Sus scrofa: one gene and its partners. The protein of the gene in region 6 purifies or fractionates together with the protein of the main gene of each other region. This does not show direct contact. Links are inferred from orthologs where the notes say so. Each region holds a gene or a part of one and is shown on either strand. Other genes may lie near its edges.

Evidence for each region.
Region 1: the proteins of PRPF8 (region 6) and DHX9 fractionate together in Homo sapiens (co-fractionation; 3 studies listed by BioGRID, with this or other methods). This does not show direct contact. The link is inferred for Sus scrofa from reciprocal best matches to the Homo sapiens genes PRPF8 and DHX9.
Region 2: the proteins of PRPF8 (region 6) and RUVBL2 purify together in Homo sapiens (affinity purification with mass spectrometry; 3 studies listed by BioGRID and IntAct, with this or other methods). This does not show direct contact. The link is inferred for Sus scrofa from reciprocal best matches to the Homo sapiens genes PRPF8 and RUVBL2.
Region 3: the proteins of PRPF8 (region 6) and SF3A2 purify together in Homo sapiens (affinity purification with mass spectrometry; 3 studies listed by BioGRID and IntAct, with this or other methods). This does not show direct contact. The link is inferred for Sus scrofa from reciprocal best matches to the Homo sapiens genes PRPF8 and SF3A2.
Region 4: the proteins of PRPF8 (region 6) and SMU1 purify together in Homo sapiens (affinity purification with mass spectrometry; 3 studies listed by BioGRID, with this or other methods). This does not show direct contact. The link is inferred for Sus scrofa from reciprocal best matches to the Homo sapiens genes PRPF8 and SMU1.
Region 5: the proteins of PRPF8 (region 6) and RNPS1 purify together in Homo sapiens (affinity purification with mass spectrometry; 3 studies listed by BioGRID and IntAct, with this or other methods). This does not show direct contact. The link is inferred for Sus scrofa from reciprocal best matches to the Homo sapiens genes PRPF8 and RNPS1.
Region 7: the proteins of PRPF8 (region 6) and BCAS2 purify together in Homo sapiens (affinity purification with mass spectrometry; 3 studies listed by BioGRID and IntAct, with this or other methods). This does not show direct contact. The link is inferred for Sus scrofa from reciprocal best matches to the Homo sapiens genes PRPF8 and BCAS2.

The regions. Positions count from the first base shown.
Region 1 is NC_010451.4:124,140,600-124,144,728, reverse strand, and holds the start of DHX9 (ATP-dependent RNA helicase A), read right to left. Parts: upstream 2,801-4,129; 5' UTR 2,643-2,800; intron 1-2,642. UniProt on the Homo sapiens protein: Multifunctional ATP-dependent nucleic acid helicase that unwinds DNA and RNA in a 3' to 5' direction and that plays important roles in many processes, such as DNA replication, transcriptional activation, post-transcriptional RNA regulation, mRNA translation and RNA-mediated gene silencing.
Region 2 is NC_010448.4:54,253,504-54,257,003, reverse strand, and holds part of RUVBL2 (ruvB-like 2), read right to left. Parts: intron 3,255-3,500; exon of another isoform or gene 2,971-3,254; coding exon 2,916-2,970; intron 1,856-2,915; coding exon 1,800-1,855; intron 1,485-1,799; coding exon 1,343-1,484; intron 43-1,342; coding exon 1-42. UniProt on the Homo sapiens protein: Possesses single-stranded DNA-stimulated ATPase and ATP-dependent DNA helicase (5' to 3') activity; hexamerization is thought to be critical for ATP hydrolysis and adjacent subunits in the ring-like structure contribute to the ATPase activity.
Region 3 is NC_010444.4:76,403,662-76,407,681, forward strand, and holds the start of SF3A2 (splicing factor 3A subunit 2), read left to right. Parts: upstream 1-1,220; 5' UTR 1,221-1,707; intron 1,708-4,020. Other genes in the region: PLEKHJ1 (pleckstrin homology domain-containing family J member 1), read right to left, coding at 576-642, 802-869, 953-1,046. UniProt on the Homo sapiens protein: Component of the 17S U2 SnRNP complex of the spliceosome, a large ribonucleoprotein complex that removes introns from transcribed pre-mRNAs.
Region 4 is NC_010452.4:33,398,006-33,402,182, forward strand, and holds the start of SMU1 (WD40 repeat-containing protein SMU1), read left to right. Parts: upstream 1-1,377; 5' UTR 1,378-1,414; coding exon 1,415-1,440; intron 1,441-4,177. UniProt on the Homo sapiens protein: Involved in pre-mRNA splicing as a component of the spliceosome. Regulates alternative splicing of the HSPG2 pre-mRNA. Required for normal accumulation of IK.
Region 5 is NC_010445.4:39,742,058-39,745,557, forward strand, and holds part of RNPS1 (RNA-binding protein with serine-rich domain 1), read left to right. Parts: intron 1-448; 5' UTR 449-565; coding exon 566-636; intron 637-880; coding exon 881-1,036; intron 1,037-2,231; coding exon 2,232-2,423; intron 2,424-2,622; coding exon 2,623-2,725; intron 2,726-3,020; coding exon 3,021-3,174; intron 3,175-3,500. UniProt on the Homo sapiens protein: Part of pre- and post-splicing multiprotein mRNP complexes. Auxiliary component of the splicing-dependent multiprotein exon junction complex (EJC) deposited at splice junction on mRNAs.
Region 6 is NC_010454.4:47,881,787-47,885,286, reverse strand, and holds part of PRPF8 (pre-mRNA-processing-splicing factor 8), read left to right. Parts: coding exon 1-27; intron 28-174; coding exon 175-301; intron 302-419; coding exon 420-612; intron 613-1,121; coding exon 1,122-1,309; intron 1,310-1,438; coding exon 1,439-1,677; intron 1,678-1,900; coding exon 1,901-2,047; intron 2,048-2,234; coding exon 2,235-2,445; intron 2,446-3,108; coding exon 3,109-3,225; intron 3,226-3,231; exon of another isoform or gene 3,232-3,500. UniProt on the Homo sapiens protein: Plays a role in pre-mRNA splicing as core component of precatalytic, catalytic and postcatalytic spliceosomal complexes, both of the predominant U2-type spliceosome and the minor U12-type spliceosome.
Region 7 is NC_010446.5:105,995,558-105,999,057, forward strand, and holds part of BCAS2 (pre-mRNA-splicing factor SPF27), read left to right. Parts: intron 1-459; coding exon 460-530; intron 531-1,476; coding exon 1,477-1,638; intron 1,639-3,500. UniProt on the Homo sapiens protein: Required for pre-mRNA splicing as component of the activated spliceosome. Component of the PRP19-CDC5L complex that forms an integral part of the spliceosome and is required for activating pre-mRNA splicing.

The DNA of each region.
Region 1 (4,129 bases), on a different chromosome or scaffold from region 6:
ATGTATAAATCAAGACTGGAAAAGAAATATCCTCCCAAATGGTTATCTTTAGATATCTACAAGCGATTTTCGTCTTTTCTTTAAAGACATTTTATGTAATGTCCTACTTTTTACAATATTCGCTTTATGTGTTTTAACTAATTTAATCCTCACAACAGTAGGTAACACTATAAACTATAGCTTCTACTTTACAGTTTTTTTACGAGCAAGACACTAGACATAGAAAGTTTCAGTAACTTTTTCAAGTTACTCACTGTAGAAGGCCTAAATTCAAAACCAAACCAATATATTAAGAAATAGTCATCTGAAAAAGAATGGGTGCATTTTTTTTCATGCATCACTGAATCATTCTGTCGTACAGCAGAAATTATCAAATTGTAAATCAACTATACTCCTTTAAAACTTAATTAAAAAAAAAAAAAAGTTCCTGCTGTGGTCACTGGGATCACAGGTTCAATCCCTGGCCCAGCACCGTGGGTGGATTAAGAATCCGGCACTGTAGGCACTGCCGCAGCTGTGCCCTAGGTCAAAACTAGGGCACGGATATGATCCCTGGCCTGGGAACTCCAGATACCTCATGGCAGCCTAAATAAATAAATAAATGGAGAAACAGCCTTCCATCATTTTGTATATAAATCCAAGAGTTTATCCTCATTTGGATTATGTCTCCTAGAAGACCATCTGCACAGCAATAGGCAATGTTATTAAGTCCAAATATATTCTGTGCTAAATCTTTCCTTTAGGCCTTGTTACTCATTAAATTTGAGGCTATTACATTTTCCTTAAGTGCAACCTATCATAGTGATTGGCATTCTCCCTCTACATCAGTTTATAGCAAAAGATACGGATCCTGAGTCTAAATTACACGCAGAGGGATCTGAGACCAAATTCAGAACTGGAGAAAATATGCTAAGAATTGTTTGCTGTGATGTGGGAAGAAACCCCATTAAGCCTCTGTCTTCCGTTAATGTTTAGTGCATTTTGTTAGCACCTACATCTAGTTTCATCAAACTGAACCCTAGTACAAAAAGGCTCTTCTGTAGTCACAGGTTAACCCTGGGGATAACCGATTCATGAAAAGTTGTGGAAAACTGAAGATGTCTACCTACAAATTCCAACCATGAATAATTAATTTTAAAAACAAGCCCTCAGGGTGAATGGAAAACATGAAATAAGGACTATACTATCAAATTCCTTCCTCCCTAGTCTTATCTAACGCCATCATATTAAATATTAACTATAGACTAATGCTATCCAAATATACATTGAAAGTTTAGTCTTTTCTCTTTAAAAGCTCCAAAATCAAGTTCATCCATCTGCAGCACTTATGTATCCACCTGAATGCTAACATGGCATCACAGTTAAAACACAATTTTAAATTTCCTCCCTAAACCTGTTCCTCTTCCCTCTAATCCCAGTGTTCCCACCTCCTTAGGCGGCACAACCATCCACCAAATTACTCCTATCACCCATTTGGGACTTATCCAGTCCCTCAACATCCTCCATAACCATCCGTTGCAGTCTTTATTATGTACCAATCAGTATCCGTTAAGGAGCATTGCAGCAACTACTTCACTTAACCCATACACGACACTGTATAGCTAAGCATTATTACAGGTAAGTAAACTGAGAGAAAGAATAATTTGCCTCAACAGACAGAGCTTCTAATTGGGGGACCCAAAATTCCAACCCAGGTAGTCCTGATCTACTCTTGACCTAAGGCTCACTTTCGCCTCCAAACATGATTCCAATCTGTTCGCTTCCCTCCCCTCTCCCACTACTGCAACAGCTGGAGTTCAGCAACAAGGTCCTAAATAATTCCCATTTCCTTTGTAACCACGCTAAAATCCAATCTTCTTTTAAATTCTTCTCACCACATTCCAGTCACGTGGCCTTCTTTCAGTTTCTTTCTAATCCCTGCCAGTAAACACTAACTAATCCCCCTCCGCCTGGGGAGTTCTGCTTTTCTTCCACATCTTAGTAGTCGATAATCTCCACCCTTTGGGCGAGACGTCGGCTCAAATGTCTGCCTCCTCCGAAAAGCCTTCCCTCGCGCCACCCTTCCGGAAATGGCGCCCTTCCTTTACACTAAATCCTCCAAGAGCTTTTTTACCGAAACCAGCACTTGTTTCCACACGGCTCCCCACCCCCACCACGACCCCAACCTCTGAGAGAAAAGAGCAAGGACTGTGCCTAGCCTGTTTTCTGCTCTATCCGCAGAGGCCGCAGGGTACCACCCGCTATTTTCGGCACGCAGGCCTGCGTGGACGAACGAAGGGCCCTAAGCGTGGGCGGCGGTTTGGCGGGCTTAGCTCCCCCCACCCCGGGCCGATTCAGTCCCTTTCACTCTACGGCGACAGCGCCACCGCCAAGCGCAGGCTGGAAGAGGAAGTGGGGTTTGGCCGCTCCGGAGACGAAACTAGGCCTGCCTCCGCGAATAACTGGGGGCCAAATGGCGGCCTCAGGCAGCGCAAGCGCGGAGCGGCGTCGCAAGCAGCACGCAACCCGCAATCCGGGAACCCAGCGAGGCGGCTCTCCCCTCCCCCACCCGCCACCGCCGCCAGCTCCAGGCAACAAAGACCCGCTGCAGAACCCCGGGGCCTACGCCGTCCCAACCGGTAACAAAGACGTCTTCCCCTTACCGGAGTCCGATTCTTTGTGCCCGAGAGCACAGCTCTCTCAGGAACGTCCCTGGCTCGGGCCTTAGCGACGGAGACCAGACGAGCGCACCACCACTCGCACCGAGGCGGCGGCGAAATGGCTCCGACCGCTACGCTGTGGAGGCGGAGTCAGTGTGCTACGCATGCGCAGAAGGGGAGCGTGGGGCCAAGGGCGCCCGGAAGAGGGGCGGAGCTGCCGCAACCACGCGACGGGCAGCGTCCAGTCGCCTGGGAGATCCGCCGCGCCCTAGAGCGGCGCCGGGGCGGAGCTTCCTCCTTTGGCGCGAGGCCTCCTCAGGAGGGGCCTGCCGCATGTTTTTGGAGAATGTTTTGCACCTTCTGTCATAGGGACCTGTGGTAGATGAGGTGCCCCACAAAGACACAACTGGAAATCCTAGGTGGTAGCTTTATAGGGTTGTTGGTGATTAAATGAGATGGCTTAAAAAATAGAATAAAATAAATGAGATGGCTTGCGAAGGCGGCTTAGGGCAGTACCCAGCACACAATAGTTGTTCAGTAGGTATTGTAGTGATTCGGCTCCTCGAAGGTTAACATCCCCTAAATAGAAGTAAGCTCGGTGAAGGCGGGAACCCTGCCTGGCCAGCTCAGGCCGCTAAATGAAGTACTTGGCACATCAAGTGCTCAGTAATAACTAGTTTAATAAATAGAAACTGTAAAGTTCTTTTTGCTCAAATTGGATAACCTTTTGTATTCATAGTCTTCGGAGTAATTTATATCCTTAACTATTATAGTAGTCACTGCTAAATTTTTGAACTCCAGTGCTTCTCACGGAGGCAACAATACAAAATATTTCAAGCTGGGGTTGTTCCAGAGAAGCCAGACCAGTAAAGTATCAGGCCCCATCGTACCTAACATCCTTATTTTTCACCTCTTCCCTTTTTTTCCCCTAACTCTTCTAGCTCACTGTGATTAATCCCTTTAAAACTCTGTTTCTTCTACAACCAGAGTAACACAGATTAAAACATTTAAGTTAAACAGAGGAACGTATTTACTCATTAACTTATTTTCTCCATGTTTGCTCTCTTCAACTAGGAATAAAATCATCAGGGAAATACCTTAATCCTTTGTTTCCTTATCTCTCTCAGGATGCTTAAATCAGGAAGTTTTCATGATAAGGGAAACCCAACTAACATAAATGGATTGCAAATGTTTTGTAGTAGATAATGTACACACCAAAAACATCAACAAATTAAGTATAAAGAATATTTTCTGAGGTCGATCTTTGGCTCCCAAAGATTACAGAGAATTTTATTACTGAGTTGTTTATTAATTTAGGCCTTGCATCTGGGACCTTGAGTTGCCAGGGGATTGGATGCCAGCAATGGCATTTACCTTTGTAGGTTGTCCTTGGCAACTAGTACCTTCTAAGATCTCCCTTAACATTTGCAGATGAAGCATCAAAACATTCTCCATGAGTTCCCTGGTGGTTCAGCAGGTTAAGGATCCAG
Region 2 (3,500 bases), on a different chromosome or scaffold from region 6:
TGGCCGTGAACGGGGTGTCAGGGCCCAGGGCCTGTGCCATGCCTGCGGGGGGTGGGGCAGCCTGGGTCAGTGGGGCCGCCCAGGCCCCAGGAACCAAACAGCCACTCCGGGGCGAGCCAGCTCCTCCTTCCTCAGGCAGGAAGAAAGGAGAGGGGCTGGGTGCTGCGTGCAGACAGGGAGATGGAAAGAAAGCGAGGCCAGCGGGCAGGGGCGGGAGGGCTCGAGCCCCGAGCTGCCCAGAGCGCAAGCACCACGACTCTGGCATCTGGCCAGTCCTGCCTCCCAGCCTCTCAGGGCTTAGGGTTAATGATCAGGGCCTAGAGGCCAAGGGGCTAGAAGAGAAGGTAATCGAGTCAAACGGCCTAGGTTCGAATCCCAGCGTCACGACTTAGCACCAAGTGATCTTTTTATTTTTTCCATTTTCCTTCTTTTTTTTTTTTTTGTTTTTAGAGTTAACACAATATATTTATTTCAAGTGCCATTTACGCATATCACTGGCAGCAACAATCCTAATGACACCTGAAATATTTCTTTAAAGCACTAACAGTTACAAAGAATGGGTGCCGTTACGAAATTGTGCAACAGTGAAACTGTGGAAATATTAAAACACTGACTGACCAACAGCAGTATTTTTTTTCCATTTTCTTTCTTTTCTTTTCTTTTTTTTTAGGGCTGCACCCACGGCATATGGAGGTTTCCAGGCTCAGGGTGGAATCGGAGCTGTAGCTGCCGGCCTAAACCACAGCCACAGCCACACGGTATCTGAGCCGTGTCTGCAACCTACACCACAGCTCACGGCAACGCCGGATCCTTAACCCACTGAGTGAGGCTAGGGATGAAACCTGCATCCTCACAGACGCTATGTCAGGTTCTTAACCTGTTGAGCCACAAGGGGAACTCCTCAAAGACATTTTAATGTTTCACTCACCTGGGCAGCAGAGTGTGGCTATTAAGTTCTAGTCAATAAAGTATGAGCAGCCGTGTGTGGGAGGCCTAAGACAGCAGCTCAAAGGGAGCCACCTCCAGGAGGCACACCCTCATTGCAATTCCTCCTTCTCCTTCTATTTGGAGTATGGGTGCGAAGGCTGGCGTGTAGGCCACCTTCTTGCAACATGAGGTGACCCCGACATGCAACGCATGTTGAGGCAGGAAGGCAGGAGCTTCCATGGGACTGCTCGACAAGCCCGAGCTGGCCTATGTTCCGAATCTTCCAGTAAGAGAAGGAACCCTTAGGGGTGAAGCTGCTGCCGTCTTGTTGAATGTGGCTGAACCGGACCTTGACCTTCACGGGAGGGACCACCTGGCGAGACCAGGCGCGCTCTCCCCCCGAGAGGTCCCTTACCCATGGCGATGGCCGTCTTCCCGGTGCCTGGCTGGCCAGCAATGAGGACCGCCCGGCCGGCGATCTTCCCTTCGCGGATCATCTCCAGCACCACGCCGGCTGCTCGCCGGGCCGCCAGCTGGCCCACCATGCCCTGGGAAGCCTGGCGGGGAGGTGACAGAGCACATCAGGGGACTTTCTTGCTACAGGTCTACCCCTGCATTTCTACAGCCTCCAGGCTAGTGAGCTCAAAGAAGACGCTGGTGGCTGAGACTTCAGAAAAAAGCCAAAACAGCCTTTTCCACCCCCATTGTTTTTTTTTTTGAAAGACCAAAATAAAACTCCACGCGTGGGGAAATTTTACAGACATGCAGCCAAAGGTCTAGAAGGTCAGAACACAGTCCCCACAACCCCTGGGGTCCCCTCCACCCCAGGCCCCCAGGGAGCAGCCTTCCCACCACGGCCCCCTGGGCTCTACCTGCCGTGGCTCCAAGGCATCGTCGAGCCCCAGCCCCCGGATGTGGGAGTGAGCGCCTGTGTGCGGGGAAGGAAGCAGAGGCGGTTACCGGCCAGCTCAACTGGTTACAGGCCAGCTCGCTGGTGGCCATGTGTGGCCTGAGGGGAGGGGCGCCCCTACCCAGTGCTGGTGTCCGCCTTGGCCACGGTCCCCTCTCACCCCCCAACACACACGTCCCCACCTCACTGGGATGATGGCCAGACACGGTCAATGCTCAGTAAACAGAGTGGCTCCTAGGCTACATGGTGGCCTGAGGGACCTCCCAAGTTCTAATCATACTTCACGGGACCTGGGACTTGGAGAAACACAAATCGCAGCTATTATTATCAGCCTGGAGCCCTGCTGGGGCTCAGTAATCACCCCAGGCCCTTATTACTACCTCTCCTGGAAGCTGTGGATGAATGAGTGAACGAACAGGAATGAAGGAATGAATGAACGAATGAATGAGTGGTCTCCTCCCTGCAGGGCAGGCTCTCTGCAAAGGCTACACCCTGCTGAACCCTCTACACCCCCACTTCCTGCTCCCGGGGAGCTGGGACCAGGGGCTTGATTGCGTCACTGAGTCCTGGTCCCTTCAGCTAAAAATGGGATGACGGTGGCAGGAGGAACACTGCAGGGCTACGCCAAGGATTCAAAGGATGCAAACTCCCGTGTTCAGTGGTGACCTGTGGAGCCTCTGGCCTGCCAGGACCTGTGCCGGGGACACTGCTAGGAAGGAGCCAGGTCCCTGCCCTCTCAGAGCTGAAGCCCCAGCGTATGCTGGCTGGATGGGACATTCGCTGCGGGGCCAACCCCTGGAAGATCTCAGCAAAAACCCCCTTTCACGATTTCCAAGCAGGATGCTGGGGCACCCGGGAGGCCCATCAGGGCAGCCCAGCCAGCAGTGGTAGCTTGGGGTTGGGGCCTGACATGGTTCCCCCCCACCTCTGAGTCATCTGGGACTAAGGCCTCCCTCCTTACGGTGGGGTGGGGGAGTGTGCAGGCTGCCCCCCTCCAAGGGTCCCAGGTAGACTGGCTCTGGCAGGGGGCAGGGGGCAGGCAGGGGCTAGATCCTGTCCCTGACCCACGCTTACTCACCGATACGCTCGATCCTCGTCACATCGCGGATTTCCGGGACCTTGGTTGTGGCTGTCTGGTGTCAGAGGAAGAGGCGTCAGTCGAGCTTTTGCGGTCCCAGCTTTCAGCAACCCCTCCTCTGTCCCCCTGCCCACCCCACACGCAACAGTTCTTTCCTCTCCTCCCTGAAGGCAGGAGTTGTCGCCCATGAAGGCTGGTGGGTTGATCCCATTACACAGTCAAGCTCAAGCGGCCAGAGACTGCGTCTGTCTTGTTCATAGCCCTGCTCCCAGGGCCGGGCACACACTTGGTGCATGGAAATTATTTGCTGAAGGAAGAAGTCCGCCTTGTCCCCCAGAGCTGCAAGAACATACACAGAGCACAGGGCAGGCATCAACCTGGACATGTTCTGGCCCCTGTTGATCTTCCAGTGCCACCTCCCCACTGCTTGTACCTCACTGTCCCAGCTCTGTCACTAGACCTTTGCAGGTCCCTGGGTCCAGCCTGCTCTCTCCTCTACCCTGACTGAATCGGATCAAGCATCACTCATTAAGGGAGGTGCTCCCTGACCTCAGCCCCTGCTTGGCTAGTTTAGGGTCTCTGGAT
Region 3 (4,020 bases), on a different chromosome or scaffold from region 6:
CCCTGAGAACAGTATCCTGTGAAAACGGAGACGAAGATGGGGTGACGCTTCTACAAGATAAGAAATGCCAAGGGTTGGAGTTTCTGTCACGACCCAGTGGAAAGGAATCCGACTAGGAACCATGAGGTTGTGGGTTCAATTCCTGGCCTCGCTCAGCAGGTTAAGGACCCGGCATTGCGGTGAATTGTGGTGTAGGTCACAGAGGCTTCTCAGATCTGTGGCGTAACCCAGCAGCTGTAGCTCCCATTCGATCCCTAGCCTGGGAACCTCCACATACCTGAGGTGCGGCCCTAAAAAGACAAAAAAAAAAAAAAAAAAAAAAAAACCAAAGCCAAAGACGCCCCAGAAGCTGAGAGAAGAGGCGTGAGACAGAGATGATTCTTCAGAAATACACAACTCTGCGCCCACTCTGATGTCAGACTTCTTGCCTCCCGCCCTCCTCGCTGCAAGCTCTGCCTGGGCCCCACGGGGAGGAGCCAGGGCGAGTGGGGCTGCTCGGGACAATGGACTTTGTCGGTAGAGATGCAAGAGGGGCCGGGGCGGGGCCGGGCAGCTTGGCCGCAGTTCGCACTCACTGATGGAGAAGCCGCTGGGCTCTTCCTGGGTGACTCTGCAGTGTTCCAGCAGCAGGGCTCCGACGGGCTGAGGGCAGATGGACGCGTAAGGGGCGGTGCGGGGAACCCTCCAGCCACCCAAGCCCGTCCCACGCCTCAGACCCCGGCCCCGCCCCCTGGCTCCGGTCCCCCCCCACGCCCTCGCCCCGACCCCCTACCCCCAACCCCGCCCTCCCCAGCGCCTAACCTCTGCCTCGTCCGTCCGGAAGTAGAAGAGGAAGTTGACCACCAGCTTCACCAGTCTCCGCTTCACCACTACGGGAACAAGGAAGGCTCGCGCGAGTTCGGTGGCTGCCCAGCCCCGCCTGCCGCCCGCTTGGGCGCCCCGGGCCGCTCACCGCTTCCTTTTTTCGGGCCCCTCATGCCCAGCTCAGCCGCCATCTCGGCCGGCTGCCGGGAGAGCGCCTGCAGCTCCTTCTCGTTAAAGCGCATGGCGCCGCCGGGACCCGGAACGCGGAACGAAAACCGCGCCTTACCGGCCGCCGTCCCCACTCGCGCCGTTGCCGGCGCCAAAAGAGTCCCACCGCACCGTTCCGGAAGCGCAGCCCGGGCAACTACGCCTGCGCGTTCTGCGGCCGCTCAGCCTGTCAATCACTGGTGCGTGTCAGTACAGTGCTGGGAGCCGCCTGGATAGAACGTGAACCCTCACGGGGCGCACGGGATAGTGAGCAAGGTGGACGGTTGCCATATACAACCATGCAATAAGGTGGCCCGCCACGACCCATGGCGCCCTTAACTGAAGCGACCTGGAGCATGCGAAGTGGAGGTGGGGCGAGACGCAACTCGCTATCCCGCGAGAGGTGGCCCCGCGAATTAGGCCCACCGAGAGAGGGTGGGGGCCGACGCGCACGCGCACTTCGGCTTCCGGCCCACACTCCCGGCTCGCCACTCACCTCCAGCATCCGGAACGTCTGCCCCGCGCCGCTAGGCGGGCTGGGCATGCGCACACGGAAGGCCCCGCCTCGCCTGCCCTCGGAAGTGCTTCCTTAGCCCTTGGCGCGCGTGCGCCTGTCGAAATTGTCGCGGCGGCTGTGGCGGCAGAATAGGCGGTTACGGTGGAGTCTGAATAGACTACGGCAGTGAGGCCGCGCAGGCGAGTCAGGAGCGGCGAGGGGCTAGGGCGGAGACCCCCGGGAGTTCCCTGGAGGGGAGAGGGCGAGGGGCGGTCGGCGGGGGCGCAGGCTGAGAGTGGGTGCCCGCTCCCCGCCCTCTCGGAGCTCGGGCCATAAATGCCGGTCCGGTAGGGCGGCAGCTCCCGAGGCGCTTTCCGTGTGCCCCGGCAGTCGCCCGTTGGTATGCTGGCCATGTGGTCTGGGAGTCACCTGGTTTCTGTAACGGGTGGGGGTGACGGCGAAACTCCTGGCACCGCACCCGAGGCCACCAGGGCCCGTTAGCCAGGCCCGTTTGGCAAGCGGTGCCACAAAGTTAAATGATTTCCCCACCTGTCACACTAGGTGCCCGATCGCTTCTTTTTTCTGTTCTTTTGTCAGCTCAGAACTACCAAGAGCAGCTTTGTAAATAACGTTATTCTTTTTGGCTGCGCCGGGTTTGAGGTTTCATTTCTATCTGCCACCCACCCTCTCCAACCTCGCCCTCCATATTCTGAATGTGGATATCGTGAGTTTTGTCAGATCGTGTTTTATTTTTTAGGGCTGAAAATAGTATTCGCTGTTCAGGCAAGCAATGTATTCAGCTGTATTGTTTTTCTTACGCTGTTTTTCCTATCGTCCTCCAAAGCTAATTAATTTCTTCTTTTCCTGTTAGCCTGATTTTCTTTGCCTGTTTTTTTTGTTTGTTTGTTTTGTTTTGCTTGTTTCTTTCTCAACGTGTCATTACTTCACACACTGATTAGTTGTGTTTTCCCACAGATTTAAACAAATGGATGGCTTTTTCTTTCTTTTTTTCTTTTTTTTTATGGCCGCACCTGCAGCACGTGGAAATTCCTGGGCCGGGGTCGAGTGGCAGCTGCAGCTGCAGCCTGTATGGCAGCTTGATGCAATGCCGGATCCTTAACCCATTGATTGAGGCCAGGGAGTGAACACAACCATCTTCACAGAGACAATGTTGGTCCTTAACACAATGGGAACTCCCACAGATGGATTTCTTTTTTCCTTTCTCCCATGGAAATTTCCCTCTTAAAGCTGGCCTAATCCTGCTTTTGGGACTGGAGCCCCCACTTTGCTTCTGAGTGGTTGTCCTAGAACCTTCTGTCCAGGTTACCCTGGTCTGGCTTTAGTTTTCAGTCTGACCATCTTTTTCGTTCCTTTTATCAGAGCATAAGGAGTAGTTTTTGAAGAGGTCAGCTCATTTATTTATTGTGAGTTCTCAGTTAACTGAAAATGGCTTTAATTTACCCCCACAGTCAGAAGTTTGGAAGTAGGAGTTCCCATCATGTCTCAGCTGAAACAAACCTGACTAGCATCCATGAGGATGCAGGTTCGATCCCTGGCCTCGCTCAGTGGGTTAAGTGTCTGGTGCTGTTGTGAGCTGTGGCATAGGTAGCAGATGTAGCTCAGATCTGGTGGTGCCCTGGCTGTGGTGTAGGCCAGCGGCCTCAGCTCCAATTCAACCCCTAGCCTGGGACCCTCCATATGCTGTAGGTTCGACCCTTAAAAAACAAAAATAAAAAAGTTGGGAGTAAAATTCTGGATTAAAAATCCACAGTAGGGAAGTCCCCATTGTGGCACAGAGGGTTAACCCGCCTAATATCTATGAAGTGGGTTAATGATCTAGCAATGCCGCTAGCTACTGCGTAGGTCAGAGATGCAGCTCAGATCCCCCTTTGCTGTGATGTAGGCTGGCAGCTGCAGTTCCACCTCGACTCCTTGGCCTCTGAACTTCCATATGCAGGTGCAGCCCCACCCCCCCCAAAAAAAGAAACCCTCAGTGGGAACTGTGGAATTATAGCATGTTTTCTACATTAAGTGCTGTTCTGAGGGATCTGATCCTGTCCTGATTTCTCATTTCAGTTCTCATTTTTTTCCTGTCTAGTAGAAATTTAAAGTTTTTTTTAGTGTTGTAAAATTTCGTGATCTTGAGAGTCTTTTTGTTTGTGTCTGTGTTAGGACCTTTTTTAACTTTGGAGTTCTTATGTCATTCCTTTGATAATATTCTCCACATTTGGTTCTGTTTTTGGTCCAGGGTTTCTTGCTTTGCCTCCTTTTGTTTTGTTGTTGGTTGTTTTTCATTTTTCTGTTTTGTGTGAAAGCTTTATTTGGCTGACCTTAGAGCACTTGTGTTCAATTTTTTGTTTGGATTATCATGTCTTTTCTTTTAAAGGGTCTGCGTGGTTTTGATTCACCAAACTCACTCTTGGCATGCTATTCAGGTTTCATGGTGCAGTAACATCTCCCATGATCTTGAAGAATATTATTCTCCTTCATTGAGGTTCCACTGGTTTTTGTTG
Region 4 (4,177 bases), on a different chromosome or scaffold from region 6:
CAAAAAATGAAATATCCTAGACAAGTTGATATTTAGCAATTGTCACAGTTTATCAAATTGCTAATAAGGGATCAGCAAGGTAATAAAGCTTATGCTTTGGGTATGGGAATGATATGGAAATTGATGGGTTATATAGTTGGGATACAGAAGATTTACATAAGCAACTAGTTTAGTGGGGGAAGAAACTTCCTAACTAGGTAAAGAGTGCAGTTTGATTATATAAAGTAACAAATGTCATAGTCAAATCTGCTGTTACAGAGGAAACATGGATGAGGATAGTTTGTGATGCTGAGCATTGGCTGTCAATCAGAGATTAAAAGTCAGGAGTTCCCTGGTGGCTCAGTGGGTTAAGGATCTGGTGTTGTCACTGCTGTTACAGATCCCCCTGGGGTTCAGTTCCTGGCCCTGAGAATTTCACATGCTGTGGGAATGGCTTAAAAATACAAATTTTACAACACAGATTTCTTACCATTGTGCTGCAAATATTTTTTTAAAAATTACAAAGGATGGCAAAAAAATATTTAAAAAAATAACCTACATGAAATTCATTAATATCTCTACTTTTCACTTGTCTCTGCTAATTTAATTACGTATGGCTTAAAGTCTATTAAAAGAAGTCGCAAATCTCCTTTTACATATTTGTATTTGCCTTCGTCGTTTTTCTTGTAATTGCATCACTGTTGTGAAACCATTTTCAAGTAAATACTTAGTTGGAAATGCTACAAGTAATCTAGCTCTTTCGAAGAAGTGAATATGCAAATCCCTAAGGCCCAAACTTAATCAGATTAATTTAAATGTGTTTTGGCTTTAAAATCTTTCATTTATTCACTTAAACTTAATGAACTCTTCTACAAATGTTGCTAACTGGGCCACTGGTTTCCAATGTCTTAATCTCCCAGAGATGTATTGTAAATCCAACTCTTTTTTTATTGGCTACATTCATGGCGTATGGAAGTTCCAGAACCAGGGACTGATTCCGAGCCGCAGCTGTAACCTATGCTCTGCGCTAGTTTTGAACCCATGCCTCCTCAGCAACCTGAACTGCAGCAGTCAGGTTCTCAACCCACTGCGCCACAGCGGGAACTCCCAATCCAACTATACCTTTAAATCTAGTCAACTAATTAAAAAGTAAACCAAAAAAGAAAAATTTTAAAACCAGTCCTTTAAGGATAACTTCCCCTCCAAGAAAAAGAAAGGATTCTATAGGAGCCGGTGCCTATGTTCCAACTCTCGACAGAAGAGTTGAAGCTCCGCCCCTCACGTACTCCACGCCCCTCTTCCGTACAGACCGCGCCCAGAGCCTGCGTCTGACGTCGAGCGGAAGTGACGTATAGGGGCCGCCGGAGGTGTCGTTGGTGCGTTGCGCGGCTGGGCCTTAGAGTGGAGTGAGGCCTGCGCTCAGGAAGCTAGAGCCATGTCGATCGAAATCGAGTCCTCGGAGTGAGTCCTGCAGTGGGAATGTTACCGAAGTGGCCGGGGCCGGGAGGCAGAGGGTTGCGGGGGTGGGAGTGGGAGGTGGTGGAAGCTGCTCGGGGGAGGCGTCCGAGAGGCTGGGGAGCGGAGGGGCATTTCCTTTCCTATAAAGAAGCTTTTGGGATCTGGCTACCTTGGAGGTGGACCTACAGAGAGGTAGCAGATGAGAAGCCCAAAGCCCTGTGGAAGGTGGCGCGGGGCTGGGGGAAGGAGACTCCTGGAAAACCTGAATTCTAGCCCTCGCCAACTTCTGCTGTACCTTGTAACTGAGCAAATTAGCCATCCTATTTGGATTCCGGTCTATCAGCACAAGGGGGCTGGGCTCGACGCCATCCATCTCTTCCCGTCCCCATCGAACACCGTGGTGGTTTCCTCCCTGTGCGTGCACCGTCCTTTGCTTTCTTCTGCACAGCTTTTGGTATCGTCACCGTTTTTCTGCCCATCCTACTAACCTGTATAGCTCCTAGGGACTCGTTTGCATTATAGTCCCAATTCCCAGCCCATCGTAAAGGCTCAATAATTGCTTTTAGAATGAATGAACGACTATTTTATCAGGTTCTGTCTGGCGCTGAATTTTATTTAGCGTGTGAGCTCTGTAGTCACAAAGGAGGGACAGAATTTGGAGATTGGGCAAGGAGAATGATAAATTTGGGAGAGAGGGGGACTAACGAATGATTGAAGAAAGTCTTCAGTAAACTTCTCCAGGACTCCATCCTCCACCTTGTTCTTGCCAACGCTTAGTAGTTAAGTCAGCAGACAACATTTGTGTCCTGAGTGTAAAGGAGAGGACTTGTCCTGAAGATCTGCCATAGGAGGAAGGGAGGTTTATTCATTTAGCAAATACTGAGATCTACTGTGTATATTTGTTCTAGCCCCTGGGACTGTAGTAGTGAACGAAACAGACAATAACCCTTGCTCTTAGGGAAAGTACATTGTGATGGGGAAGGCAGACAGCAGACAAAATCAGTAAGTAAGATAGCTTAGCAGATGGCTGTAAGTGTTGTGGAGAAAAATAAAGCAAAGATGGACAGTGAAGACAGTTATGGCAGGAGTTGGAAAGGAATCCACCCTTTGGGGCCTGAATAAAATCGGGCACTGACCATCCTCCCAGCCTTGGCTGCAGCATGTTTTTGTGATCAGTAATTGCTGCTATTTACTAAGTATTCTCTATGCTAGTTACACTATGTGTTGTAGTCAATCCCTTTGATCAATCCTACAGGGTAGGTATTTTTCTTAACAGATGAGGAAACAGGCAAAGAGATGTTAATTGACTTGTCTGCAAGTCACAGTTAGTGAAAGAACTCTGATTGAAATCCCAGCCTATCTCCAAAGCTTTTAGCTCTTTGTGTATTACATTGTGTTTGAAGGAAGTGAATTTGATTTTGGTTATATCAAATTTGAGTTCTTTGCAAGGATGGAGTCTCATATTAGGAGTGTAAGTGGAAGTGTCCTATGGAAGCCAGGGATTGAACCCGAGCCACAGCAGTGGCAACCCCAAATCCTTAGGCCATCAGGGAACTCCTGCAGGAACTGTTTTTAAGAGGGTATTTGGGGAGTTCCCGCTGTGGTACAACAGGATTGACATTGTCTCTGCAGCACCAGGACACAGGTTCAGTCTCCATCACAGTGGGTTAAAGGATCCCATTGCCATAGGTCACAGCTGCAGCTCCGATCTGATCCCTGATCTACAAACTCCATATGGCTCAGGGCCGCCAAAAATGATAAAAAAAAAAAAAAAAAAGGTGTTTGCTTTCCTGTCTGGGATGATGCTACCTGCCACACTGCCAGTTTGAATCTTTTTTTTTTTCCATTTACCTCTGTTACTTGGTCACATCCTCACGTAAAATGGACATAAGAGTAATGCCATCTTTATAGGTTTTTGTTTTGTTTTTTGCCTTTTGTGCTTTTAGGGCCCCAACAGCAGCAGCATTTGGAGGTTCCCAGGCTAGGGGTCTAATTGGAGCTACAGCTGCCAGCCTATACCACAGCCACAGCAACACCAGATCCGAGCTGCATCTGCGATCTACACCACAGCTCACGGCAACGCCGGATCATTAACCCACTGAGCAAGGCCAGGGATCGAACCTGCAACCTCCCGGATTCGTTTCCACTGTGCCATGACGGGAACTCTGGGTTTGTTTGTTTGTTTGTTTTTTTAAAGGCAGTACCTGTGACATATGGACATTCCTGGGCCGGGGATTGAATCCGAGCTGCAGCTGTGGCAACGCTGGATCCTTTAACCCACTGCACCAGGCCAGTGCTGCTGAAACAACCTGAGCTGCTGCAGTTGGATTCTTTTTTTTTTTTTTTTTCCTTTTTAGGGTGGAACCTGAGGCATATGGAAGTTCCCATGCTAGGGTCAAATTGGAGCTGTAGCCACCAGCCTACACCACAGCCACAGCCATGCCGGATCTGCGCCAAGTCTGTGACCTACACCATAGTCACAGCAACGCCAGATCTCCCACCCACTGATTGAGGCCAGAGATCTAACCTGCATCCTCATGAATACTAGTTGGGTTCGATTCCTCTGAGCCATGCTGGAACTCCTGCAGTTGTATTCTTAATCCACTGCACCACAGCAGGAACTCCCTCATAGGGTTGTTTTGAGGGTAAATGAATCCAAAATGCTTAGAATAGTCCCTGGTATATAGTAAACACATAATAAACATCAGTTGTTACTTTTTGATTATTGTTTCTCTCCTGG
Region 5 (3,500 bases), on a different chromosome or scaffold from region 6:
TGATGTTGGTACTTTTGAAAGGGCTTTTGTTTCCAGTCATATCATACACACTGTATTTTACAAAGGTCATAGCAATGAGACGAGATCTACTCCTGTCAGTGGATTTTCTCTGTTCTGCATGCAAATGTGATGCTGTGGTATTTTAAAGGACTGTAGGGCTCGACAGCAAACTTGTGAAAGAAAAACGGGTATTGTACCACCTGTGAAATAACAGGACACCACCACCGTGTCCTTGAGAAACCACAAGCTGAGGTTCCACCAGTGCCTCCTGCGGGAGTGGGACCCTCCCCAAGGAAATGGTGCCCGGCCATCCCAGAGGTGTTGTTCCTGGCTCTGTAGATGCTTGCTGCTTACTGTGTTCCTTGCTGCCTTCTGCTGTGCCTGGCTTTTGACCGCCAAGTCGATTTGTTGCCAATTAACCCTGTAAATCCTTTTGTCTTGTTATTAGGCTGCACTTTGGCGTAAATTGCAATCGATTAGGGATCGTTTCTCAGACTCAAGTTAGAAGTGAGAGTTCAGATAAGTGAGGCCGCCATTGCTGCTTTGAACACCTCAGAAGGGGAGAATGGATTTATCAGGAGTGAAAAAGAAGAGCTTGCTAGGAGTCAAAGAAAATAATAAAAAGTCCAGCACTAGGTAATCCTTCCTTCTGTCAGATTTTTCTAGTGCTACTTTGGGGGTACTCGTTGCTAGGGACCGTGAGAAAGGGGGAACTTGGAAATGTCTTGCATTTTACATGCAAGTGTCCTAAGCCACAGATCATTGTGCTCTGTGATTGCCTGGGATTTCTGTAGCCCTTTGGATCCCCTTTCGGGTGGTGCTGTTGCTTCAGGGTCCAGTCACCAGGGCCTGCAGTCTCACGCTCTTCCTCACCGTCCAGGGCTCCTTCTCCTACCAAACGCAAAGACCGCTCTGAGGAAAAGTCCAAGGACCGCTCTAAAGATAAAGGGGCCACCAAGGAGTCGAGCGAGAAGGACCGTGGCAGGGATAAAACTCGGAAGAGGCGCAGCGCTTCCAGTGGTAGCAGCAGCACCAGGTGGGGCTGGTGGGTTAGAGCACTGCCAGGGCCTCGCTTCCGCAGCCGTGTCTCTCTTCCTGCCCAAAGAGCCCAGAGGGCACTCTTGTCTCTTTCTCTCTTTTTTTTTTTTTTCCTTAAAGTCTAGTTGATTTACAGTGGTGTGCCAATTTTTGCTGTACAGCAAAGCGACCCAGTCCCATATATGTATATATGTATTGCCTTTCTGGTATCATTTTCCATCCTGGTCTCTCCCAAGAGGCTGGATATGGTTCCCTGTGCTGTCCAGTAAGACCTTATTGTCTGTCCATTGTAAATGTCATAGTTTGCATCTACTGACCCCAAGCTCCCAGTCCATCCTTCTCCCTCCGCCGCACTTAGAGTGCGTTAATTATGTTAGAGAGGACACTCGGGTTATTAATGGAGACCCTGATTTGTGGCAAACCTGATTATATATAGAAAATGGTGTTGGGATTTTTTTTTTTTTTTTTTTTCCTTTCTTGGCGATGTTAGGGAATGGGGTGACTAGGGGCATGGTTCATCTCTCAAGTGCTTTTTTTTTTTTGTCTTTTTGTCTTTTGTTGTTGTTGTTGTTGCTATTTCTTGGGCCGCTCCCGCGGCATGTGGAGGTTCCCAGGCTAGGCGTCCAGTTGGAGCTGCAGCCGCTGGCCTACGCCAGAGCCACAGCAACGCGGGATCCGAGCCGCGTCTGCAACCTACACCACAGCTCAAGGCAACGCCGGATCGCTAACCCACTGAGCAAGGGCAGGGACTGAACCTGCAACCTCATGGTTCCTAGTCAGATTCGTTAACCACCGCGCCATGACGGGAACTCCCTCAAGTGCTTTTGATTTGGGGTTGTGATCAGATTCCCCAGCCTAGGGAGTCTTTTCCATCCATTGAAACCCAGCCAGAGTCAGTAGCTGGTTTCCAGGCTGAATTGGTGCTTCTGACTTGCCGGCCTCCTTTACAGGCGTGGCTTCTGTGTGGGTAGAGAGGGGCTCGCTCTTCCTTTCCTGTCACTGCACAATCCGCATGCTGTTTTCTGTCCCTGCTGAGGGCGGGGAAGGGGAGTGTCAATGTTTCCCCTCCGGGGACGCTTGAAAATACATGGGCAGAGGTCTCCTCTCCAGAGCCAGACCTGCTTGACGGTGCTGTGGGGAGTTGCTCTTGCTCTTCCACCACCGTTGTCGGGGCCCCTCCCTCTCGCCCTCAGGTCTCGGTCCAGCTCTACCTCCAGCTCAGGCTCCAGCACCAGCACGGGCTCCAGCAGTGGCTCCAGCTCGTCTTCGGCATCGAGCCGCTCAGGAAGTTCCAGCACATCCCGCAGCTCCAGCTCCAGCAGTTCCTCTGGCTCTCCGAGTCCTTCTCGGCGCAGACACGACAACAGGCGGCGTTCCCGTTCCAAGTGAGCTAGCTCCCTTCCAGCCTGGAGCTTGTGAATGATTAAAGTAGAGCAAAAAAGGAATCTTCTTGCCTTAGTAATCAGAAGTCTGGGCCAGGGACAATGTGCATGAACCGGTAGAACGCTGTCACACGAGCCGTTAACATCCCCACTAAAAGCTTGATGTCACAGATTGTTGCTGATGTTTTATTTTTTCCATCAGGTCCAAACCGCCCAAAAGAGATGAAAAGGAGAGGAAGCGGCGGAGCCCTTCCCCTAAACCCACCAAAGTGCACATCGGGAGGCTCACCAGGAACGTGACCAAGGTGAGGAATCCTGCTTCTGTCCAGTGGACAGTGGGCTGTGTTACTTGCAAAGTTTTTAAGTGGGAAACTGGAGAAGGGGGCCTCTGCCAGAAGGGGAACTTGACCTGTCGCGTTTCGAGGGGCTGGCTGCATGGCGCGTGACTCAGGCAGCGCTGGTTGATTCCCTTGGATGGGATACAGACGTGACGTGCCTCTGGGAGGTTTACCCCCGGGTGCGAGGCTGTGGTCACTGTGGCGCCTTCTCTGACTCACAGTGCCTGGCGGGTGGGCCCTCGAGTGACCTTCTTTCTCCCAGGATCACATCATGGAGATATTCTCCACCTACGGCAAGATTAAGATGATCGACATGCCTGTGGAAAGGATGCACCCTCATCTCTCGAAGGGCTACGCCTACGTGGAGTTCGAGAATCCAGATGAAGCCGAGAAGGCACTGAAGCACATGGACGGAGGTGAGTAAGCCCTGTCAGCTCTCCTCTGACCTGCCTTCTCTGTCCCCCGTCCAAGACCAGGACCTGTCGCACCTAGTGTGGTGAGAACCGACGTCCAGCCTGGCTGAATGTGAGACTCCCTGGGGCTCTTTCAAAATTCCAGTTCTCCCTCGTGGGTTTGTGTTTACCAGAAACATATTTTATGGAGTGTTATTCTTTTGGGGAAAAATTCATGAAATAATGACTACAGTAGCCTTTTAAGAACATTTCAATACCTTAAGAGCATATGGGTGAAATGAAGGTTTTTGTTTTGTTCAGTATAAACATCATGACTGTAATGAAGCATG
Region 6 (3,500 bases):
CTTGGAGCGGCTCAAGGAAGCTTACAGGTGAGGGGTAGACAGGTTCCTATGGGGAGGTGACAGGGAAGAATGACAGCATCATCAAGAGTCCAAAGAAAGAAGGCTTAGCATCAGTCCTTTCTGGGGTTGGCTTCCTCTTGATTTTCCCATTCACCTTTTCTTTTGCCTTGTCAGTGTGAAGTCCCGGTTAAACCAGTCTCAGAGGGAAGAGCTGGGTCTGATCGAGCAAGCTTATGACAACCCCCATGAGGCGTTGTCCCGCATCAAGCGTCACCTTCTCACACAGAGAGCCTTCAAAGAAGTGAGTGAGATGCCCTCGACATTTTGTTCTGGCTGCGTGATTCATCCCTGGCACCCAGTGTGGCAGGTTGTCTCAGGTGGTTGGTGGGTTGGTGTGAGCCAGCTTCTGTGTCTCGCAGGTAGGCATTGAGTTCATGGATCTCTATAGCCACCTGGTGCCAGTGTATGATGTGGAGCCCCTGGAGAAAATCACTGATGCCTACCTGGACCAGTACCTCTGGTACGAAGCTGACAAGCGCCGCCTTTTCCCGCCCTGGATCAAGCCTGCTGACACAGAACCGCCGCCTCTGCTTGTTTACAAGTGGTGCCAAGGTAAAACTTTTCTGGGATCGCACCTGAGAACGGGAGGCGCATTGAGTTCTGCTATCCAGGCAGCAGAATTAGCTTACTTTCTTGCTGCATAGTAGCAAGGAAATGGTATTGATGCTAAACTGAGCAAAGCTGACTCTCCTGGCAAGCCAGCGAATGAATGGAGTGGCATGCGATCGGATTACCGTAGGCACTGGTCCTGAAAGGGAATTTCTTTCTTTCTTTTTTTTTTTTTAAAGGGCTGCACTTGCGGCATATGGAAGTTCCCAGGCTAGGGGTCGAATCGGAGCTACAGCTGCCAGCCTACACCACAGCAACGCAGGATCAGAACCACGTCTGTGATGTACACCACAGCTAACAGCAACGCCAGTTCCTTAACCCACTGAACAGGGCCAGGGATCGAATCCACAGCCTCACGGTTACTAGTTGGATTTGTTTCTGTTTTGCCACAACGGGAACTCCCTGAAAGGGAATTTCTAACCTGCTGGAGCCCTGTCTTGCCCCCTCCTCAGGCATCAATAACCTGCAGGACGTGTGGGAGACAAGCGAGGGCGAGTGCAACGTCATGCTGGAGTCACGATTTGAGAAGATGTATGAGAAGATCGACCTGACCCTGCTGAACAGGCTGCTGCGCCTCATCGTAGACCACAACATCGCTGACTACATGACTGCCAAGAACAACGTCGTCATCAACTACAAGGTGTGTTCCGGGGTCGGGGTGGGGGTGTCCAGCCTGCCGAGCTGGGATTTGCTGAGGTGGGAAAGGAAGAGGCTGGGCCCCGGAGAAGCCTGGCACGCTGCCGTGGTTGAGTGTCCTCTTTCTTTCTAGGACATGAACCATACAAATTCGTATGGGATCATCAGAGGCCTGCAGTTTGCCTCGTTCATCGTGCAGTACTATGGCCTGGTGATGGATTTGCTTGTGTTGGGCTTGCACCGGGCCAGTGAGATGGCTGGGCCCCCTCAGATGCCAAACGACTTTCTCAGTTTCCAAGACATAGCTACTGAGGCTGCCCACCCCATCCGTCTCTTCTGCAGATACATCGATCGTATCCATATTTTTTTCAGGTGAGGGCTTGCCTGGTTTCTTATCCTTGCAGGGCACTGAGGCATGTGCCCAGCCTCTGGAAGTGGCTGTCCTGCCTTAGTTGGCTTGCTGCTGGGTTGGGGCTCTAAAATGGAAGGAAGTCTTCTGAGTGGGAAGGGGCGGGGTGGCCTCCCTCTAGGGAACTGTAGGTCGCATGAGATCCCAGTGTGCTTGGGCCTCAGCAGGGCGCATTGTCTGGTGCAGGTTCACGGCAGATGAGGCTCGGGACCTAATCCAGCGTTACCTGACGGAGCATCCTGACCCCAACAATGAGAACATCGTCGGCTACAATAACAAGAAGTGCTGGCCCCGAGATGCCCGCATGCGCCTCATGAAGCATGATGTTAACTTGTGAGTCTAAGTTGGGGCTCTGGGAGCGAGAAGGATGTCAGCCTGAGGGACCCGGAGGACAATTAGAGGGACTTTAGGAGGTGGTCTTCTGGGTAGGAGGATGTACTCTGTTGGGCTGTCGTCAGTCTGGCCTTTGCAGGGAAGTGCCTTCCAGGGGACTGGTGTGACCCATGTTCTCTGTGGGCAGGGGTCGGGCAGTGTTCTGGGACATCAAGAACCGTCTGCCACGCTCAGTGACTACAGTTCAGTGGGAGAACAGCTTCGTGTCGGTGTACAGTAAGGACAACCCCAACCTGCTGTTCAACATGTGCGGTTTTGAGTGCCGCATCCTGCCAAAATGCCGCACCAGCTATGAGGAGTTCACCCACAAGGACGGGGTCTGGAACCTACAGAATGAGGTAGGGCCTGGGCCAGGGGGCGGGGGAGCCGGGAGGAGCATTACCACCTCCCGGTAGGTGGGAGTGAGGAACTGCACACACTTTTTCCTTTTTTTTTTTTCATTTTTGGCTGCCCCATCACACATGGAGTTCCCAGGCCAGGGATCAGCTCTTATCCATAGTTGTGATCTGTAGCGCTGCTGTGGCAACACTGGATCCTTTAACCTACCGTACTGGGCTGGAGATTGAATCTGTGTCCTGGCACTGCAGAGATGCCGCTGGTCCTGTTGCACCACAGTGGGAACTCCCAAATACCTTTCCAGTGTCAGTCGGATGAGCCTGGTTGGGGGAGTAAGGGCTTAGTGATGGTCAGCATTGGTTCTTGGCGTTCCCACTGTGACTCTGCCGGTTAGAGACCTGACGTGGTCTCTCTGAGGATGCGGATTTGATTCCTGGCCTTGATCAGTGACTTAAGGATCCAGTGTTGAGCTGTGGTGTAGGTTGCAGATGAGGCTTCAGTCTGGCGTTGCTGTGGCTGTGGTGTAGGCCAGAAGCTGCAGCTCTGTTTCGACCCCTAGCCTAGGAACTTCCATATGCCATGGGTGTACCCCAAAAAGACAAAACAAAAAATTTCTTCTTCCTGTGGCAGTTCCAGAGATAGTTAACCTTGACCTTGTGGTTTAGGTTACTAAGGAGCGGACAGCTCAGTGTTTCCTGCGTGTGGATGATGAGTCAATGCAGCGCTTCCACAACCGTGTGCGTCAAATTCTGATGGCCTCTGGGTCCACCACCTTCACCAAGGTACGTAGTGCAGTCATGTTCTCTGTCCGTCTCACATCCCGTTTAGATCCTTGTGCTTTGCTCTCCTTTCTTGCCAGCTGTGCTCAGTGTAGTCTCCGTGCTTTATGTACAGCAGCAATTTGTTAACTGTGTGTGCTTTAAGTTTTTGCAAAGTTTTAAAAATAGCCTTGCTTTTAATGCTGTCTTCACGTTCCACCAATGGTACACATGAGTGTCTGGACTGATGCTCTCAGGAACATCAGTCACGCCAAAAAGAGAGGGAAATGCTAGGTTTT
Region 7 (3,500 bases), on a different chromosome or scaffold from region 6:
ATGTATGTCCAGGCCATCTTCTTTCTCCCCTGCCCCCAGTGAATCCTTAGAGCCGTGGTTCTCAGCACAGCCTTCACTTTACAGACAACTGGTGAGTTTTTAAAAAAAGTTATTATAGTGTCCAGTCTCTGCCTCAGAACAATTACTCGGAGTAGGGAAGAGGAGCTACATGTGGCTGGTATTAAAATTGTTTGCTCCTGTATGATTCTACATGTGCTGCTGGCACTGAGAACCACTGATCTAGGATTAATCCTTTTCTCTATAGGCTCCTTTACATATGAAGTATGTGTGTGCCTGTGCATTGAACCCAGAGAAGACTTGGGAGAAGGGAAGTGCTCCGCTATAGTGGACAGTCATAAAGTAAATACCTAAGTAGCTTAGATCCGTTATTTGATGGTTGTTAATATAAGTTTATTGATATGATTTTGGAAATAATTCTTTCTCTAATTTATATATCAGACTGACATAATGAGAAATGAATTTGAAAGACTGGCTGCTCGACAACCAATTGAATTGCTCAGTATGAAACGGTAAGTTCTATTTCTGCATTCAGATGCCCTCAAATCATAGTTTAATTTTAAATTATTAGTCAAACTACTGTAAACTGTTAAATATGGAAAAACAATTCTTGTCTGTTTTTTATATATTTATATTTTTCTGTATAAAAGTTATAATAGTGGTTCGTGTAATCACGTGTTAATATTCAGAAATATTCTTTGCACCGTTATTTTAATACAAAAAATATTTTAAAATACCTAACAGGGAAAGAGTAAATTAAAACACAGTTCACGTTTAAGAGTTCCTAAGGGGGGATTTCCCTGGTGGTCTAGTGGTTAGGACTTGGCGCTTTCACTGCTGAGGCCAAGGTTCAATCCCTGGTCTGAGAACTGAGATCCCACATCAAGCTGCTGCAAGCTGTGGCGCCCTCTGGCCCCCTCATCCCCCAAAAAACTCAGAAATTAAAAGTTAGTTTGTAGTAATTCAGTACTGAACAGAGATTTATGAAGAGGTTATGTTGCCGGCTATATTGGCAGTATTGAAGTAGTATGAAGATAAAGACTGAGTTCCAAATGTAAAAAATTACTGTATCCCTTTACCATTTTTTTTCTCTAGAAGGAGGTGGGTAAGTGGCAGTGAGAGTGGGTGGATATAGGTATGTTTTACAAAATAACTTCATATCCTGCTTTTTTTCCCCTTAAGATATCACAAACATTTTAATGTTTTAGGTATTCTTTAGTAATGTTTAATAGCTATTATAATAATCATTTATATGAATGCACTGCAGCTTGTTTAATCAGTTCACATTGAAGTTTGTCAATTGCTTGTTTCTTAGGATAAATAGGTTTCTTATTATTGCAAGGTCTGCAACCTAAGTCTTCTGTAGTTTTCAATGTGTATAGGTCCATGATCCTGTTGGGAGGAGACAAAAGGTTTGGAAGAATAATGTGATTTTATTTCATTGTTGTTTAATTTCAGATATGAACTTCCGGCCCCTTCCTCAGGTCAAAAAAATGACATTACTGCATGGCAAGAATGTGTAAACAATTCTATGGCTCAGTTGGAGCATCAGGCAGTTCGAATTGAGAATCTGGAACTAATGTCACAGCATGGATGCAATGCCTGGAAAGTATATAATGAGTAAGAAGCTTTTTTTTTTTTTTTTTTTTAAACCCATCCCACCCATAGTCTTGCTAGGGGAAGTAGGATTAAAAATAGTATAACTGGACTTTCACTTGGATTATGTCCTAGAACTAGAATTCATATAAAAGGCTACTGCTTTGAGACCCATCTCAACATTTGAGAATACTAAAGGGACCTAAAACTAATGCATTTATTGTATAATATTGCAATAGTGAGTTCTGAGGTCTAGATTTACAAATCACAGCATGGTAGAACGTAGGGGATTGCTTATACAGTCAGCTCTCATTAGTTGCATGTTCTGCTTTATAAAGTGGCCTTGAATACTGAATTAGCAAACAATGAGCCAGTTCTCCTGGGAGAAATACATACATATGTAGATATACATATCTCTCACATAGATTATAATCTTAAATACTTTAAAGCAACTTATCATGGCAGGTTCTATATTTTCTTTATAAAAGAGAGGACAAAGTTGAGAAGTGTTAAGTAATTTACCAGAGTTGGAAATTAAACTCTTTCCTTTGGTCATGTCTGTATGGGACCTGAAACAAGAAGGCAGAGTATCACCTTGTTCCACTCTAGCTAGAAATGTTCATGTCCAGCAACTCAGTTTTTTTGCTGCTCTGAGCATGAATGATCACAAAACACTGCAAGTGTTGATTTTAGGTTACAGAAAAATTTGAATAAATAGGCAAAAATTCACAGATACAGAATCTGCAAATAATGAGACCTGACTGTAAGTAGAGAATTAACACCAGCAAAAAAATCCCAAAACAAGCCACTGAGTTCCTATTTCTGTTCCATATAATTAGCTTTAGGTTTTGTTATTTATTTAGGGTTCAGTTCCTATTTGTAAGTCAGTGCTTAGATGATCTCCATGGCCCCTTTGGGCCCTAAAATCCCAAGTCTCTATTAACAGTTTAAGGAGAAAAGGCCGTTGAACCTCATGAGTGTGCATAAAACTGTTAAAGAGTATGATTCCTGAAACTGTAAAGCAAAATTGCAAAATGATAAAAACCTTTTCCCAAATTTTCAGAATTGTGTTTAAATTTCTGTGGCCATATAGAGATTTGTGGGCAAAATCCAGCATTTAAGAAGCTACAGAACAATTCACTTTCTACTGTGAATATATTACAAGCAGAATAAAGGGGAAATGGGGCTGGAAGGATTAAGAAATATAAAAGAGCAGATCATTCCTAAAAATGCTTGTATTTTACTAAGTGGAAAAATGTCCTCTTTATCCTCAAGAAGCTTTATCTAGTTGAGGAGACAATATATTCTGTGGCAGATAACCACTAGTTCATTTTGGTGATACGGGGGCAACTGCTGCATTGCATGTTGTGGTCCATAAAGTACTGAGATCCAAAGAAGGGACATTTAGATCCCACATAAAAGTGATTTCATGCAGTATTTGTCTGACTTATTTCACTAACCTTCATATTCTGTAGAGCCATCCACATCACTGCCTATGGCAGTATTTCATTCTTTTTCCTGGCTAATACTCCACTGTATGTGTATATGCATAGCACATCTTAATCCTGTCACCTGAAAGGCATTTGGGTTGCTTCTATATCTTGCCTGTTGTAAATAGTGCTGCTATGAACATTGGGGTGCATGCATCTTTTTGAATTTAGAGTTTTCATTTTTTCCAGATAATTGCACAGCAATGGAATTGCTGTATCACACTTTTTTTAGTTTTTTAAGGAACCTCCATACTGTTTTCCAAAGTAGCTGGACCAATTTACATTCCCACCAACAGTGCACAAGCGTTCCAGAAAAGAGTGAGCACATCCCAGGAATGGAGGAGGGCATAGATTTCAGGGTGGGCCTGGAATATTACATTGAAGAGAACATTGCTT